Schizosaccharomyces pombe: one gene and its partners. Changing the gene in region 2 together with the main gene of any one other region gives a genetic interaction. Each region holds a gene or a part of one and is shown on either strand. Other genes may lie near its edges. The genes, in order: uri1, prp10, spf31 and iss9.

Region 1 (4,625 bases), on a different chromosome or scaffold from region 2:
AACGGACTGAAATATTATTGGAATATGCCAGTGAACTATGCTCAGCGATCTTAAGATGCCGTACGTTTGATATGGGATATGCGCTTTCTAATACAATTCTATGCATTTGATTAACGTAACCGTCCTCCTCAGCAATGTGGTCTTTTTCTACTCGTCGAATAATTAAAGGGTCACTCGTCGTTCCTGTTGCTTCATCGACCAATTCAACGATGGAGCCATATTTAATGGGTTCTGGGTTATCGACATCGTCGCATACCTTCAGTTTACCATTTTCATCTGGTAATAGCAGGTTAATACGCAATGGCACCCATCTATCACCGCGAAGACAAAACTGACCAGCCTCAATCGATGTATACTTTGTACGTACAGTTTGTGAATTAATCCGGTTATAAAGGCTGACGACTGAACCGGATCGCAACGTAATATTACTAATTTTTAGTTTGCTTCCTTTTTTCGAAGGTTTGGAGACAATACTAATAGAAGAAGTAACCAAATGAGATAACAATTGGTTATTTACATTCGAGAACATGTCCAGAGAAAGCCGTAAGTTTTTAGATTTCGCAGCGACCAAACTCGATATATGCAGTGACCGAAAAATCATACATCCTTGGCCAGTGTATTCTTCGCTGATGGGTTGCGAACATTGCCCAAAATCATTCATTATTGATATCTCAGTGCGAAAAGACTGATTGAATATAGAAGAGTAATTCCCATTAATATAAACCATAGGGGGTGGACATAGGTAACGTTTCTCTGACCCATAAGACTTTTGTATGACAGAGGAATGTCGACACGAAACTGTTACCAGCTGACTAGGTTTCCCTGAACGTGTAAGTGAAATTTTGTGCACACTGTCCTCATTCAAATTAGCAATGCCAATACAACAATTGTTCAGTAAATCCAAATGATCTGATATGGCTCTTCGGATCATCTCTACAGAACTGTCTTCATCAAAGGTTTTTCTTTTTCTATTAAACCCAGGAGGAGAAGGAGCAGGAATTATGTTTTGGGCCAGCTCGTCCAACGAATTAGACGCCTTTGCTACAGCAGGAAAAATTGACTGTTCATCCTTAACTACAGAAGGGAATTCCTCTGATTTTTCCAAAGTAGCCAAAGCTGAGTTTACAGCACTGAAGAGAGACAAAACCTGCATGGAAACACTTCCAGGACTCCCGCTTCCAACTCTTTCAGAATTTTCATTCCTTCCTCCAGCTCCATCCTCCTGATTATGCAAACCATTATTTATGTTGTCCACTAGAAAAATCCGTTAGCTATTTTACGCTTGGGATGTTCAGAATGATTTATAACTCAACCATCATTGCTAGCGCTTACAGTTCAACTGATTTAAATTTAAGGAGCCAGAAGTATTACTCCCAGAGATATTTGCAAAATCCCAGGCAAAATAGTCCCCCATTAATGTTCAAATTATGTTTTATACTTGCTTAAACTGTTGGACCTATAGGATTAAGACATGCATTTGCTTTTACTTAAATTATTTTCAGTGAGAAAATATTAAAATTTAAAGTAAGGGACCAAATTACTAGATGCTTAGGACATTTGCAGTATGGCGCTTTCTACGTACATTAGGGTCAGGTCGGTGGCTTCCTACTCAGTTTGAGCCATTTCCATTAACATCGATTTTTCGATATTATATTAGTTACCCTGTTATTTAAATACTAAAAGTATTTAAAATTTATTAGAATTACTTATTATCTCGTTTTTAAAGTGAATATTAGCTTGCCCGAATAAGCTGTATATGCCTTTTTCCGGAATAACCACGAAACGATCGTTGGCGTGAGATTATTTTGAATTAGAAATTCTTCAATAACTCTATTTAAGATCCTTTAAAACAACTTATCGAATGAACGACGAAAGACTAGTAGCCATCAATTTTGAACAGCAAATCTTCTCTAAGATTAGCGAAATTTCTGAATCAGTCGGTAGGGCGATCCGTTACTGTAAGGAAGATGGAAAAGTTGAAGGATGTGAAACAGCATCCCATGTGGATTGTACGTTACTTTTTCTTATAAATTGAGTGATAATGTTTGCTTCATCAAACGACTAATTGCTAATGAAAATCCAGTCTTAAATCATATTCATTTACTTTTGGGAAATTACAATAATGACTTAGCATCTTCAATTGAAAAGAAGAAATCCGAGTTGATAGTAAGAAACTCAGAAGGGTTACCTGTTATGGATATTCATGAAGAAGTTGATAAAGATGGAAATATTATAAGTGCTTCTGTTGCTCCACAAAGAATTTCATCTGTAATAGATTATGCGGATGTCTTTCGATCCCTTCCTGGTTTCAAAAATATTGAAAATGGGGGGAACCGTGATACATCTTCGAGAATTGAAGAGCTATCTGAAGAAGAAATTAACGATTCTACGAAAAATATTAACTACAAAGCTCCAGAAATGGGCTCATTACCTTCTAATACTGAATTTACTTCAACTCCAACACTTGGTGTCTCAGAATTTCCCAGCAAACATGGTGATCATTCAGACAGTAAAACATATGAGAGTCCTATTAGTAATAGTCAGGCTGCTTCATTGAGTGATTCAGATATGGTTCAACAAATTAAAAATGGTAGCAAGACTTCTTTGTTTAAAAAGGGTTTTCTTTTCAAAAAAAATAATGCAATGCAAAACAGAACTACTTCAAATATAAAGTCAAACGCTTCTGCTATTGAAAAAAATAAAGAAACGATATTGAATGCTCTCAATAACTCTACTTTAAATGAAAATGGACATCAAGATACCCAAAATGAAGTTTTACGAGACATTGTGTTAGAGCATCCGACAGCGAAGGCCCAAGATACTGGGGAATCTAATAAAGATAATAACACTAGCACGTCTAAACATAAAAAACGACCTAAGCGTCTTTCAAAATTTAAACAAGCTAAGCTAGAAACAAAAAAATCTGGCAACAAAGATCATGCTACATCTAGTGAAAAGCTTTCACTAGGAAATGAATCTATTCATTCTATAAACGAAACTAGAAGTAGTAGTATAGAAGAACCAGATAATGCCGACAATAAAATTGTCGAAGAAGAACCGATGTTACTACCAGTTCCGACGACTGCGCAAGGACAAAATGTTTTGGAAGCAGTACAATACGACGGTTTAGACTCTTTAGAAGATATGGAGGCTCTCATTCAGGAAATGGAGGAGGAAGGCGAATTAGATGATAATTCTGAGTCTGAGGAAGATGAACATGGTATGACGATAGGATTTTCCAAGGAACTGAAAGCTCCACCGGATCCTCAATATTTTACAGAAAAGACTGGTGCTACAACTTATGTCAATGGTAATGACGAGAGCCTAAATGTCAGTGACTTTCCACAAATCGTTGAACAAGAAGAGCTTTCGTCAAAAAATCCTCGAAAGGTACATTTTTCAGACACGCTGGAAATTAAACACGTCAGTCGGAGTGGAAAGGCGAATATTGAAGTTATACCTGCTCCAACTGAAGAATACGATAATCTTTTTGGACCAGACGATTTTCAGAGTCGTATTTCAGCGTTTCGTAAAGCAAGGAGCAAATTGCGCGCAAAGGAAAACGAAGAGGGCAACCATTCTAATGCCACATGTACAATCAAGAACGATGATTTGAGTAACACATTAAATAATCGGGCTGCGAATACAAAGTTAAATCCAAAAGAAGAAGACAAATCTACTGTAGAATCCGAGCTTAAAGCACCGCCTAAAGAAAAAAGCTCGGAAACTTCCAAGGAATATTTAAATGAACCATCTGTAGTAAAAGATTTTGTAGTTGAACGAACTCCATCTGACAAAATTAGCGAGTCTAAAGAAGCATTCGATGCGAAAGTCGAGGAAATTAGTGATCAACGAGCTATATCACAACGTTACTACGAACTGAGAAAAAAAATGATAGATAATACAGGTGAATATATTAAGGATGAAGAAGAACAGGCAGTTATACCTTTGGATGAGAATGGAAATGAAAAACCTAAAATGAGCCGATTTATGACCGCGAGGTTGCGTGGTCGTGTTCCCATTTATGAGCATTAGATTAAAATTTTGTATAAAAAAAATTAAATGATTAATGTTTTTGCTTAAGTTATCTAATTACGGTTTTGAGTTTGTCGCGTAATAGCAACGTTGTAGTCTTTCAACATCTCTTCTGGAATAGCAGACGGGCTGCCAATTAAAAGATCAGCACCCGAAGAGGTTTTCGGAAAAGCAATGACCTCGCGAATTCCTGGAGCATTCGTCAACAGCGCAGCCAGCCTGTCAAAACCCAATGCAATTCCACCATGCGGTGGACAGCCACTAGACAATACGCGTATTAAATGCTCAAATGTAGCATACCTATTCTCTGGTAATTTAAGCACGTCTTTAAGCACAAATCTTTGAATATCTGGATTGTGTATGCGAATACTGCCACCCCCTAATTCAATACCATTCACGACTATATCATAATGAAGTCCACGAACAGAAAGAGGCTTTTTTTCCAGTAAATGTACATCATCCCAATGAGGAGCAGTAAATGGGTGATGTGTAGATGTAATAGATTGATTTTTCTCTTCGGTTGGTGAGAAAAGAGGAAAATCCACGACCCAAACGAATTTTAATAAATCCTTGTCCAGCTCTGGTAAAGC
Region 2 (6,215 bases):
GCTGTTGGACAGAGTGGTCTTAATCAAGTACTGAACGCTAGTCAGGTTTGTCTTTCTATTTTATTACCTTTTCTTACCTTTCCACTTGTAATGTTCACTTGCTCTCGAAAAGTTATGCGTGTTGTTAGTGATTCTACCAATGAAGAAACTGGACAATTGATAAGAGAAACTCACGATTATAGCTTAGGATGGACTATGACTATTGTTACATGGGCAATTTGGCTCTTTTTGACTGCTTTAAATTTATTACTCATTGTTTGGTTGGGCATGGGAGTCTCCTTCTAAATAAATTTTAGAACGCTCGTATTTTTCAAACGGCATGGTTATATGCGTACGTTCCTTTTAACATTTCCCCATAGCTTTCCTTTAATTACTACACTTAGTCCGAAATTTATTTATGTAGCATTTGCAAACCGCGTCAAGTAATTTGCGATGCTCTGTTGAAACCAAAGTTATTAACATGAAGCTGAGACATGTATACAAGTACTATCACAAATGTTTTCATGTACTATTATAATGAATATTTTTTAATAATTAACAAAAAGGGTACTTAGATGCAAATATGTAAAGTTTTCATATCGTAGTTGTTGAATTGATCGTCATCAACGTGGGGATAGTATGGTACCATAGCATCTGCACTTTGTACATAAGCAGAATTGTAGCTTGTCCAATAAGTGTTACGAACTTTACGACTCGGATGAAATAATCCTTGTACTAAATATGCCATAATTGGACCTACACCGATACAATTTCGGATGCCATCAATGCCTTCCCGAACGGCATTGATAACATGGGGCGATTCCTCCAAGATATTTGGCCATAGGATATTAAGTAAATGAATCATTGCGTCTTCAACACCCAAACCAACACAACCAAGAGACAAGTGCTTGATTACAGAAGCGGCGGTTTGCCGATGCACGGCATCGCGATCCATAAGCGCATCGGCTAAAAGAGGTGTAATGGCATAAACATAGTCGCGTGCTTGCTCACCAATGTATTCAAACATAAACGCTAATGACTTTAAAACACCATTCTGCACGTTCATTTCTGGAGTTCTGTAGTCTGCCATAAGTGCTGGTACGACTGTAAAAGGCATACATGTTTCTGCCACGATAGCAATAGCTACAGTAGTACATACACGATTTTGGCGTTCCTGGACTTTGAGATTATTTAACAAAGTAGCCAGCACGTCTTGAGGTCCGATGGCTTTTGATATATAACCAAATGTGTTGACAGCAGCACGGCGAATACTCTTTTTATGTGCTTTAAGCATATCAATTAATTCAAAACAAATACGCATCCATTCCCTAGCGGACACGTATTCCGATCCACGATCTGCAATTTTGCCAACGAGATCAATTGTATTCTCTTGGACCTTTTCATGACGGTTCCTCAAGATGGGAGTCAATCTTGGTAACAAATCACGAATAGGAGGTTGCATTGAAGACATACCAACAACGGAAACAATAGCTTTAATAGCACCAAGAATTGAGCCCAGAACCTCTGGATATTCTTCACCAAGATACTCGTACAAAACAACACCAAGTTTACGCATTAATGCTTCTTCACCACATGCCTTTAAAACAATGGTTATACTGGAAACTAAGTCGGCAGCTTGTTCGCGGACATTAGCAGACTTATTGTTTAAACGATACAATATAGTAGAAACGATCTGAGGAAGATACGGCTTACATCTTGTACCAAGAGCATTAACAACAGTACTAAAGCAAGTTAAAATAACTTTCTCCTCAACGGATTGCTCCTGAAAAGCAAATAAAACACCATCCAACAGTAGCTCTTCCAATCTTTCGTCAATCTCGGAAACACCTAAAGAGCCAATCACTTTATCGACAGTTTCAGCGGTCATCTTCCGATATGGCTCGGATTCATCTTTAAAGTTGTTGACGACCCTTTCAACAATTTGACGGGAACCTACTTGTTGAGCAAGAACAACTGTAGTTTCAACAACTTGCTTGTAGCTGCGACGATCTGATGCCATCCTTCGGGACCAAAAACAGTGAAAAAATTCAGGCAACACATCAGTTCTCAAATACTCAGGTGTTACTCCATCAGTAGATGCACATTGTGATACAACTTTGAGAACTATCTTTTTCATTTCTTCGTCTGGTGAATTAAATTCACGTAGAAGAATTTTCATGATACGCCGTGTAAAATGACTTGCATACTCAGGTTCCATAAGAGGGATAATAAAACCGGTTGCTTTTAAAAAGGCGGCTAAGCTTTTACCACGATGCCTTTGGACTCCTGACCATAATGGCTTTAAAACGCTGTCAAAAGCTTCAATACCGTAAGGAGTAGCAGCTTCAGCTAAAGCCGATAAGGACAAAGCTGTCATAATTCGTACTTTTTGTTGTTCATCTTCAAGGCCGTGACCAATACAATCAACTAAATTTTTTAAGTGTGGTAAAATAGAGCATCCTAATAACAGAGCAATCTGTTGAATAATCCGAACGCCAGTATGCCTGGCTTGCCATGATTTCTTACTTCTACAAACAGCTTTTAAAAAAGGTAAAAGAGCCGGCACGCCTAGTGCAGAGGCAACAACCGAAAAGGCACGGGCTGTGGTGTTTCGGACATATTCGTCGACATGATCAATGTCAGGTCTCATTGTAGCAATCATATGAGCCAAGCCGGAAGCTTTAGCTAAGTTACTAATGATTTCCCGACCTTCAGCACGTGCATAGTAATCTTCATCAATAAGAAGGGGTTCAATAACTACGAGAATTTTATGAGTAAAAGGGCGAACCAGATCATCCAATTTGTATAATATACGATCAATAACCTTAACTAAAAGATGGCGCTCCTGATCTTCCAGTGTTCGTTCCATTAACAACGGAAGAATCTGATTAAATAAAGCAGCTGCACCAAAGTCGCGAGCTTGATCCGTAAGCTGGCGTAATGCACTCTTACGCATGGGAGGAGTACCATTTTTTACTTTCAGAAGTAATCTCAAAATTTTACGTTCACGAAGTTCCGCAATTGTAAGCTTGGCCTCGTCCTCCACCTTGAGTAACTTGCCAAAATATTTAACATCTTCTTGCTTAAAAAAAGCTAAATCACCTACACCGGGTATTTCTGTAGGCAATGCAGCTGGTAATTCTTTTTCTAAAGGAAGCTCTTGCTCTTGTGGAACGTGATATGTATCGAGCGTAGTACCTTTTTGAAGTAGTTCAGGATGAATTGATTCTAAATATCCAGGAGGAGGCTCCAAAATAGCATAGCCTTCTGACGGCAAAAGCTCATTTAACTCTTCTTCAGTTAATAAACGGACAGGAGGTCGTAATTTTTCTTCTACTACATTTACTTCCTTATTAATAAGATCTTCAGAAATTCCGTTTTCTATAACATGTTCAGATATAGTGAAGTTTTCAGGAGCTTTGTCCCAACGTGATCTACGCTTAGTAGTGGAAACCTGCGTAACGCTAGGTGGAGCCTGATCCCAACGAGAGCGTTTAGGCTTCTGAGATATTTCCGTATTATTAAGCTCTAGTTCTCTTTTTTTGTCCGATATGCTTTCCTCCTCCTCCACCTCTTTTAGTGTTCCTTCACGACGTCTTTGATTTAATTCCATATGAACTCGTCGCTCTTCCTTTTCTAATTCAACCTGCCGCATAACCTCCGCATAAGATCTTCCATTGCTCTGTGTCCCATCAGGTTGAAAAGCATCTACGCGGGTTGGAGTAAGCTGTCTATCATAACGCTGCTTTTGATAATCTGACTCGCGATCCTGAATTTGCTTTTTTGACTGTCTCTCTTGCATAGGGTCATAACTTTCATCAGCGTATTCATTTAGTAGTTCCTTAGGTGCTTCATATTGACGCACTAAACGATAACTATCATTAACATCGTTTGTACGTTTATAATCGTCTTCATCCTGAGAGATATCATTGCGCACGTCAATTGCGGAGTCATATTCTTCTTTTGGGTTACTGGACTTAAAAAGATGAGCATTATATTGTAAATCATTAGAATCCTGGGTACCTTCAATATTTACACTTCCATTTGTCGACGAATTCTTCGCTGCCTCTTTTTGTCTTCGCAAAAGTTCTCTTTCAGCACGAAGCCTTTCTATTTCCACATCTTCTACTTTATTTAGGTTAGTAACATCCATTTTGAACATTTTATAAGGATACGTACCAGTTGACATGTTGATGGCGAAGAAATGCTTTCATGTTGCGCGTCTTATACTCATTTAAATATACTCAAAGCATTCTAAGCTTCGTTATCAATATTTTAAAGTACAATACAGTAACTCGTTTTGTAGAATAACGATAAGATTAACGTGTCTTATTTAGTTTAACCCTCTTTATTAAGATTTATTTGCGAAAGAAATATATACTATCGAAAAAATTAGTATGAGGAATGATATTGAAATATCGAGGTATCATATTGCAACAGCTCAAGCTTTTAGCACCCCCCCCCTCTGCTATTGTAGATCTTGTAAGCGTTGCTGCAATTAATTGATAATAGACAAGCGTCTTACGGTTTCTACTTGTATATCCTAATATTTGGTGGAACCTTTACAAATTGATGTAAAATCTCTTTGGAAAAATTCAGCACTATATCGCTTTAATGTGAAGTTTGGCTTATAAGGAATGTAATTAACGATGATGGTTGCTAGGACACGCAGTCAAAAAAGAAAGCTTGAAGAGATTAATAACCAGAAGAAGATTAAAACAAAAAAAAAGGCCACCGGGCAACAGACTTCTAATACGAAAAATCTGCGTGATGTTAAAAAGAAAGGTAAACAATTAGCGTATGTTCCGAGGACGTCACCAAGGAAATCATATAAAAATGGGGAATATGTTTTAGCAAAGATGAGTAGCTTCCCATGGTGGCCAGCCAGAGTAGCGAGCCAAAAATCAATACCCACTGAGGTACGCGAACGATTGAAACGAAATTTTCGAATGGACAATGGAATATTTGTTCAGTTTCTTCCTTCAAGAGATTACGCTATTATTTCTTCTTCAAATGTTTTGCCCTTAACTGTTGATGAATCAAGGTTTATTTTGGACCATGATTTATCGACAAAGTATATCCAAAAGACGGTAGGTCTCATCATTGCTTCCGTAAAGAGAAAAGTTTCTTTTTCTGATGTCGAAGAGGATGAGTTTGAACCAGAGAATACTCGTAAAAAACTTCAAAAGCCCATCGAGAAACCAAAAAAGGAAAAGATAGAAGCCACACCTAAAATTGACGGGGGTAAAAGGTTAAAAAATGAGAAATCGTCGGCAGAAATTTCTCAAACATCGAAGCAACGACCTTCACGTAGGTCAGCTCGAGTTAGGATGGCTACAGACAACGCTCAGAAATCCCCATCTCCAATTCCTTCTCCCAAGAAAACAGCCAAAAAAAGAGTAAGGTTTGCCGGTTCTTTAGAGGAATTACCAAAATTTTCACTTGAATATCAATTGGCTCAGCCTATAAGTACTGTAGATATGTATGCTCAAGTTCATTATATTCGATTTAATACTCTTTTATATTACCGCTACCAACTACAAGAAATCCTACTGTCATATAATCATTATCCTCAAGAATCGGATATGTCTCATGTGCACCAAATATTGGAGATGATTGAGAATTTCAGCGCAATAAATTCTGAACTATTAGAATCAACCAAGTTGTATTCACTTTTTACTTTGCTTGTTAAATTAAGCGACATACCGTTGGATGAAAAATATGACTTTTCTTCACGATTTTCGACTCTTCTCCTTCAATTCCAAGCATTCGTTCAGCCCAAAACCATGACAAGTAATGTATCTACAGCGCCCATTGGAAAGAATGCTCAAGTGAACACAGAAGCTGCCAGACCATCTGTCATCACTACCTAACTTTTGATCATACATTCATATGCTTTTGTTATCGAATTACATAACTAATCTTGTTTACATTTAATGTTACGATAATATTTGCTTCCAACATTTTCATTAATATAGAACGCATTATTAGCGCGACTCAATGTGTTTATGGTACAAATCGTTACAATACGTTATCCTAGTATGTAAGCAAGAACAAGCATTGCTTACTACCATTTCGTAGTAGGTACCGTCAGTGTTTTTTTTTTTTACTTGCGATATCTCGTGTATACTAATTTAAAAAAAATGTCTTTCTTTGCTCCAAGGAATAAGAAAACGGAGCAGGAAGCAAAGAAATCAATACCTTGGGTTGAGCTTTAGTATGTAAATAGAGAATAC
Region 3 (3,635 bases), on a different chromosome or scaffold from region 2:
TATGAGTTTGACGAACACATTGAGAATAAACGAGTATATGCAATCTGCTATGTTAAATTATTTGAATAAATCCTTCAATTCCTATTATCATGCTGCGCGCTGTTTCCTTCTCCTGGGACAATTCCTTAGTTGTTTACCAGCTCCAAAAGTGGACGATGCTGCTAACTGGAATGCAGGTTTGCTTTATTCTAAGAGATTGGGTCCTGTAGGAAGAGCAATGATCTTTCAACAAACTCACACTCTCTTTAAATCCCTTTCTTATTTAAAAACTGAATCTACGGACCCGTTCTCTAATAAGCGAACTCGTAAAGCCGCACTTTGGTGTGTATTAACTGCCGATGCTTGGTTGAGATGTCGCATTCCCTTTCGTGCCAAGCCTTTTGTAGAGGAAGCAAAATTGTTTTATGGAAAAATCGATTGGAAGGATTTGAAGGAGTGTGTTGCAGCACTTGACGAAGTCGAAGTCTCCAAACAACCTGCTTCTAATATTCCTTCTAGCTAGAAATGCCCCACTTTCAAAATGTATATTATTTTATTTACCAAATATCAAAATTTCTACAGGTTATTAATGTGATTATATATAGCGAAATAAACTAATAAGTTAATCTGATAATGAAAATTCGTTAAAACGAATCCAACGAAAATTAATGATTAGGACTGTGGTCCATCGGATCCCGTTTGTGAATTGGTAAGGTCAATAGTAAGAGGGGGACTAACTGAAGTGGCAGGAAAACCGTTAGATGTAGAAGGTTCGGTGGAAGATTCAACAGCAGTGTTCCTCAATGAATCATTTTTGTTAGTTGTTGATTGTTTTGCACGGTTGATGAGATCAGCAAAATCCTCAGCGTATGCCTTCTCCCAATCGCCCCCTCCTAGTTTTTCTTTTTCTACTCCAATTGATTTCGACTGAACGCGCTCCCAATCTATAAGTTGGCGAATTAAATTTCTTTTTGAAACAGGTTGTTTCTGGTCTAAATTAGAATTGTAAAGGGTAACCCATTTAGCATGTCGACGTTGTAATAGTTGTTTATGTCCATCGGTTGGAAGCCCCATCTCTGATAATTTGGAACGAATTTTTGATTCGGAAAGGAGTGCATAAGTTAGTTTGGGAAGCCGCACTCGATCTTTCAAGGGTAGTTCATCTGCAGAGTTAAACGACCTTAACCTGCGCTTCGTGATAGAATCATCATCTGTTTTGAATGATAGTAATGAATTAGATTTACTATTATCCTTATTTTTATAAGGTGAGGAAGAGGAAGACGGGGAAGAAGGTGAGTTAAGACAAGAATCCAAGTGTTGATTAATTTGATTATGAGGAACTAAATTTGAACATGCAGGGCAGTGAACTAAATCCTCACGTTTCCTCTTTTTAGAATCCCTAGATGTCTTTTTAGCTATAGAAGCAGGAGATGAATTTGAAGCCAAGTCGTCTTCCCATTCCTCATCGCCAGAAGCTGAATCCTGTGCGATAACTGTTTCAGGAGCTTGAAGTACTGGCTTTGGCACATTTTCTACTTTTAAGAATTCAAACAATGTTGGCCTGATCACTTTAAAGGACTCTAAAATCTCTTCTAATATAGTGTTTTTTCTTAAGCGGCTTTCTTGCTCAGGAGCACGACAAGCAGGGCACATAGGATGTTCTCTCAGATAATCGCGTATACAAAACGAACAAAAGGTGTGTGAGCAAGAAGTAATTAAGGGGGCGCGAAAGTATTCATGACAAATCAGACATCGTAAAGAAGAATCCAAGCCCTTCAACGATGGTATTTTCGTTTGGTTCCAATCAGATGGATCTGTAGCATCTAGTTCATTCATCTTATTTTAAATTGCAAACCCATTAATAGTTAATATGCACTAATATTCAAACTTAATTAGGGATTCGTAAGAGCACTCTCGGACGGTAAATTTTTAAACCTTAGACACATCGATATGTAAATGAATATGTATATTCATATACATTATTACATTTAAAGAACAAATGTAAAGAACCTGTTTCTAAACGTACTTACAGATTCTTACCCTCGATACCAGAAGTTGGCGAATGCAAAACCTAACTCACCACCAAATTTATCTATAAAGGATTTTTGAAATTTGCACTCTTGTAATTTCAATTTTGGGGCTCGGTCAGAAATGGCAGACGTTGCAAAGTTTTTAGATCGAGTTGAAGGAAGTTTAAACAGAGTAAGTTTTAGCATTTTATTGACATTGCATGTGAAGATTTCTAGATGTACCTTAGTAGGTTGATTCGATTTATCTTATTCTCAGAATTTTTTTTTTTTTTGTTTATACAGATTATATACTACAATGAAACAATAGAATAACTTTGCCTATGCGTATATTACTTGCTAATCAAACAAAGTCGATGAATTCTAACCTTTACTTAGGGACGTGAGATTGACAGAATATTGTCTTCCTTTAAATTAAATGCATATGATGTTCTTGATATTTTGCCAGGAATGAGTGTTGATGATATTCGAAATTTGTACAGGAAAAAATCATTAATGATTCATCCAGACAAAAATCGCGATAACCCAAAAGCTGCAGACGCATTCGACATTTTAAAAAAGGCGGAGTCTGATCTAGTTAATGATAAGATTCGGGAATCTCTTGATTCGGCTTACACAGCTGCAAGGAACCAACTATTGAAAGAAAAAAAATTGTCTCCAAATTCGGAAGACGTCCATTCAGACCAGTTTTTATTTGATTTAAAAGTACGTTGGCGTGAAATCCTTATTGCAGATGAAGTTGCAAGAAGACGAGCACGGCAGCTCGATTTAGCAAACCAGCAAAGAGAACAAGCGCGTCAAGATGAAATTGCAAGAGAACGAAAGCGTCGTGTAGAATCAGAAAAGGTTTGGGAAGAGACAAGAGATAATCGTGTGGGAAATTGGCAGGATTTCCTTCACAAAACGAAGAAAAATAACTTAAAAAAGAAGAATAAAAAACCAAGGGTTCTTGGATAAAAGACGAAGTTACGCGTTTTATTGTACATTAAAGCTTCGACGACTTAACCTCTTTTAGTATTTGTACATGACCTATGCGATTGAAATGATTTAATATGAAGTTTTCAACAATTTATAAATTGAAATTTCTTTTCATGCTACGTGAGCAGATTACCATTAAGTAAACTAATCAACAAATTCTACTGAAATTTGCTTTTCGACAGTGATATGTATCAGTATCGTAATAGAATTAATATGAATGCCGTTTAACCATGGTAACTGCTTTGTATATTTACAGCGTTCTATGGCATATATTCCTAATGGGTGCATGTAAAGAAAGAGAATGATTGCCCTACCCACTGTCGAATAAACAACAAACTAAAGATGTTTGTATGTACAAGGCTTTTTGGAGGAAAAAGTCCTTAAAGAGAGAATAAGACCAAGAGCTTCCTTTTTTTCCTGGCATAGCATTAAAGCGCACCAACTGAAGAAACAAGCATCATCCTAACGTGCATCCCATTATGAGTTCGTATACCAAGTTAAAAAAAAGAGGGCAGAATAACACTAAAATTACTAATTATGTCTTGATCATATGTTTAAAAGAGATAAAAAGAAATAAGAATAAAGAAAAAACGCGACCATCATTATATATGTAAGTGAAAAGGGGCAGCGATTTAAATAAAGAAGAGAGAG
Region 4 (3,750 bases), on a different chromosome or scaffold from region 2:
CTTCAACCACCTCTCAATAAGCAAAATTTCCCTCACAATATAGAATTTGAGACCGCTGACTTCTTGCGCTGGGAATCGAAACGAAAATTCAAAATAATACTAGCATTATCCGTATCTAAATGGGTGCATCTAAATAACCACGATGAAGGAATCATTAAATTCTTTGGGAAGATTAGTTCTTTATTGGAAACGAATGGTGTTCTTATTTTAGAACCTCAAGGATGGGACTCGTACTTGAAAGCTGCAAAAAAAATATCTGTAAGTCACGACTATCAATACTTCTAACTCTTACTTTTCTAGGTTTTTAATCAAACACCTGAGAACCTCAAAATCCAACCTGATGCGTTTGAACATTTGCTTAATCAAGCAGGACTAGTGCTTGAATACAGTATCGAACCTCAAGTAAATAACTCTGAGTACAAGAATTTTGCCAAACGAACAATGTATATCTATAAAAAAAAAGGAATTGGAATCATAAAACTATTAACTTCTACTTAATTGTCTAGTAAAACGTTAAGAATAGACAATGACTGGAACTATAAAGCATAATGTCCCAAAAGGACGTGTCTCATTTTTTATTAAATTCTCTAATTCAACATATGAGGAAAGAAAGAAAAGCGGAATGAAGTAGTTTTATTATTAGATTTGGCCTTTAATATCAACCACAGCATGCTTTTTCATGCATTTTTCGAATCTATCCGTGCTTTCTTTCATCAGTATGCGATTGGGATCTTTTGAATCGTATACAGCATTACAACTCCTAAAAAAGTTTACACAATCTTCCATTTCTTCAAATGCTAGTGTGTTAGCCAAAAATTCCATTGTAAGAGAAGGGCGATATGCTTTGCACATCATTATCATCGCCTGCACTCGTTCTCTCTCAATAAAAAGATCCATCAAATAACCTCCCATGTTGGGAGCGACTAAATATAGATGGAAAAATTTATAGTAATCGCCAGTAGCCATCGCCGAACGGACTTCTAATGCATGTGTAACAGCAGCGTTTGTTTTGTCTTCTTCTTTTAGATTGGCGAGAAGGCTATTCATTTCTATAAATTGTTAATAATTTGAATTCAAAAGATATATTCTTTTAAGCAGTAAGCCGTAATTAACTTACCAGATCGATTTTTAGTGAAGAGCATATACAGAATACGATATGCTAAAAATTCCTTAGTATTCCCTGGTATACCAAAACTGTAAAGATGAAATAATTGAGTTTGACATTGGTTATACTCGCCAACATCACCCTAGTCGAACGTTAGAAGAAGAAATGATATTTTAAAGTAATTAACCGTACCTTTTCAAGAGCTATACGAGCATGTATTTCGTAAACTAATACAGAAAACTCATTTTGAATCCTTTGCACAGTTAAATCCTGTCTTAAACTTTTAAATTGATCGCATATATATGCATAGTTTTTCTCTTCTTTCCATTTCTTCTTTAAAAGTTCGAGAGTTTGCTTAAGAACTGGAAGGGGTCGAACAGTATCCGGATCAGGAGCCGAAGTTAATCGCAAATACCTTTTCTCTAATTCTGTGGACCGTCCTATAATAGCACCATTCTCCGGGTTGACTTTTAGCTCTTCAGATTTAGCGTTATTTTGAGAACGAGAACCATTTTCAAACCTTCTTCTTCTTTTTTCTTTCTTATCCACTTCATCTTCTTCACTTAAAAGTGAAAATTGATTTCCAGAAACAGGCTTCTCAACCTTTCTTTTTTTATCTTCGATGATTGTATTTTGAGCATTTGTCAGTTTCCTTAGGGATTCTAAATTCATAGAAGACCAATCAACATTCCATATGTTTCCCATTTCGTATTGACGAGAAATTAGCAATTTTACTTCATCCTCTAATTCTGGCTGGCTGTTTTCCTCAGCGTCTTGGATGCATCTACCAATAAATTCTTTCAAAGAGTCCGGCCAAGGGCTATGATGTTCTTTTTTCATATTTAATATTTTTCATTGAGCTATATGATTAATGCTAAAGTTAAGTACTTTTCTCAACTTCCTCAATTGCTAAAGTGGTGAGTACCGAGATTGTATGAGAAGTGCGAGTCCGTCAGCTTAACCCTGTCAGTAACGTTGTAAGTCGATTTCATTATCCAACCTTTCAATCAATAAGGATTAATTTATTACTATTCAGTTGATCGTTCATCATTTTTTCCTTTAAAAATTTAAAAAGTCATCAAATAATTCAACGGTTCCACCTAAACTTGTTTGTTCGCTTAAAATTTATGAAACCAACATGGAAAGTAGTTAATATTAACTCACGCTATTCACGCATATTTTATTCTGTATGCCTCATATAGCCTTGATTAAACTACTAAAAGAGAGTAATATACCGAATTATCAAGCCTAAAACACTACCTCCCAATAAAGCAATCGTAATTCATTATTAAATAAAAAAAAATTTGAAGACTGCTTCGAAAGTTTTGTAGTAATATCTTGAAGAATGTAGGTCTAAATTCTAAGCTTTTGGTGACATTATTTAAGATAACTAGCAACCGGAATGATTAAGCAAGAGTCATATTAAATAAGTACGGAATATAAACACCAAATTCAGTGGTGCATCAAGTAGATAGATTTTATATTTTTGAAACAGCTGGTAGTATTAGCAGCATTAAAAACATCGTTTAAATGTCTCTGTATTAAACACCATATTGACATAAAACAAACTAAGCGTTCACCACTATTATGATATTATGAATGATTACATGATTTCAATAATTAATAATCAAAATTAAATGATAAAAGTTTTATTAAATATATTCATTTTCTCATGGAGCGACAACAGATTATAGAGTCTTTACGCAGAATAATTCCCACTGAAAGTACAGAATATAATGAACGGCTTATTAGTTTAGGAGAGTCATTTTTGGAATGGTCCAAATATAAACATAATCTAAAGGCGACAGAAGAGTTATGCCGTCCTTATATGGCAGCGCACTTAGCTTGTGAACTGTAAGTAACTTCTGATGTTTAATTACTCTACTTGAACTTGTTCTGACTCTTTAAAAAGATTATCCAATGATTTAAATTTGGAAATAAATTTACTAGCGACTCCAATTCCAAAAAAGAAATACTATAAACTTTTCACTTACTTTCAAGAAATCTTATCTCCATTAACTAAATCCTTAGCAGCTAAAGATGATCTGATGGAAACCATTACTTATCTTTGTACCAAACTAGGGGGCTCAACTGCTATACCTTATGTTAAACAATTGGTGAAAGCCGTTGTTACAAACGACATGCGCATCGAACACAAAAGAGGCATCATAATCGCAGCTTATTTACTAGTATCGGCAAAAGCTTTTGGAAAAGACGAACTTCATATAAATCACACCGAGAGAAGAAAGGCACAGAGTGTTTTACAGGATACAAGTTCTGCATTGCAAATTCAGTATTGGATGCATGTCCTCTCAGAAAGTTGGCAGTATAAAGAAATCCCTTTAAATGGTATAGAGGGTTATGAATCTCAAAAGCAACGGATAAAACCTTGGAGTGGGATAGCAAGCATGATTCAAATAGATTACGAAAAACGACTTCAAAATTATCCAATATGGAAGGCCTGCATTGAAGAAAGAATCCAATATTACAAAAGCCAGCTTGAAAAAGATGGTACTGCTTCATGAATACAATTTACTATATTAATTTTTTTTTGTACATTAAACAACATTTATAAACGGGTACACGATATCTTTAGTGATATATACAAATACATGAGTAAAAAAAAGTTAAATTAGACTCTAAGC

The links.
Region 1: mutations in prp10 (region 2) and uri1 together harm fitness less than expected from each alone (positive genetic interaction), as found in Schizosaccharomyces pombe (one large-scale study listed by BioGRID).
Region 3: mutations in prp10 (region 2) and spf31 together harm fitness more than expected from each alone (negative genetic interaction), as found in Schizosaccharomyces pombe (one large-scale study listed by BioGRID).
Region 4: mutations in prp10 (region 2) and iss9 together harm fitness more than expected from each alone (negative genetic interaction), as found in Schizosaccharomyces pombe (one large-scale study listed by BioGRID).

Annotation. Positions count from the first base shown.
Region 1 is NC_003421.2:324,331-328,955, reverse strand, and holds uri1 (prefoldin-like protein), read left to right. Parts: upstream 1-1,861; coding exon 1,862-2,009; intron 2,010-2,083; coding exon 2,084-4,035; 3' UTR 4,036-4,088; downstream 4,089-4,625. Other genes in the region: DNA-binding transcription factor, CBF1/Su(H)/LAG-1 family Cbf11, read right to left, coding at 1-1,254, 1,333-1,414; dar2 (aspartate--tRNA (Asp) ligase), read right to left, coding at 4,089-4,625.
Region 2 is NC_003424.3:4,332,620-4,338,834, forward strand, and holds prp10 (U2 snRNP-associated protein SF3B1), read right to left. Parts: upstream 4,186-6,215; 5' UTR 4,169-4,185; coding exon 4,159-4,168; intron 4,108-4,158; coding exon 4,003-4,107; exon of another isoform or gene 3,937-4,002; coding exon 551-3,936; 3' UTR 516-550; downstream 1-515. Other genes in the region: pdt1 (Nramp family Mn(2+) transporter), read left to right, coding at 1-285; pdp3 (PWWP domain-containing protein), read left to right, coding at 4,629-5,852; DNA replication factor C complex subunit Rfc2, read left to right, coding at 6,123-6,196. UniProt on the Schizosaccharomyces pombe protein: Contacts pre-mRNA on both sides of the branch site early in spliceosome assembly.
Region 3 is NC_003423.3:1,068,438-1,072,072, reverse strand, and holds spf31 (DNAJ protein Spf31), read left to right. Parts: upstream 1-2,036; 5' UTR 2,037-2,130; coding exon 2,131-2,181; intron 2,182-2,304; exon of another isoform or gene 2,305-2,384; coding exon 2,385-2,963; 3' UTR 2,964-3,112; downstream 3,113-3,635. Other genes in the region: TRAPP III complex subunit Trs8502, read left to right, coding at 1-502; rhp18 (postreplication repair E3 ubiquitin-protein ligase), read right to left, coding at 652-1,815.
Region 4 is NC_003423.3:2,964,578-2,968,327, forward strand, and holds iss9 (nuclear export factor), read right to left. Parts: upstream 2,032-3,750; 5' UTR 1,946-2,031; coding exon 1,298-1,945; exon of another isoform or gene 1,248-1,297; coding exon 1,118-1,247; intron 1,050-1,117; coding exon 640-1,049; 3' UTR 528-639; downstream 1-527. Other genes in the region: bmc1 (Bin3 family regulator), read left to right, coding at 1-258, 301-498; origin recognition complex subunit Orc6, read left to right, coding at 2,778-2,959, 3,018-3,630; protein ess1, read right to left, coding at 3,745-3,750. UniProt on the Schizosaccharomyces pombe protein: Required for transcription elongation. May also be involved in pre-mRNA splicing.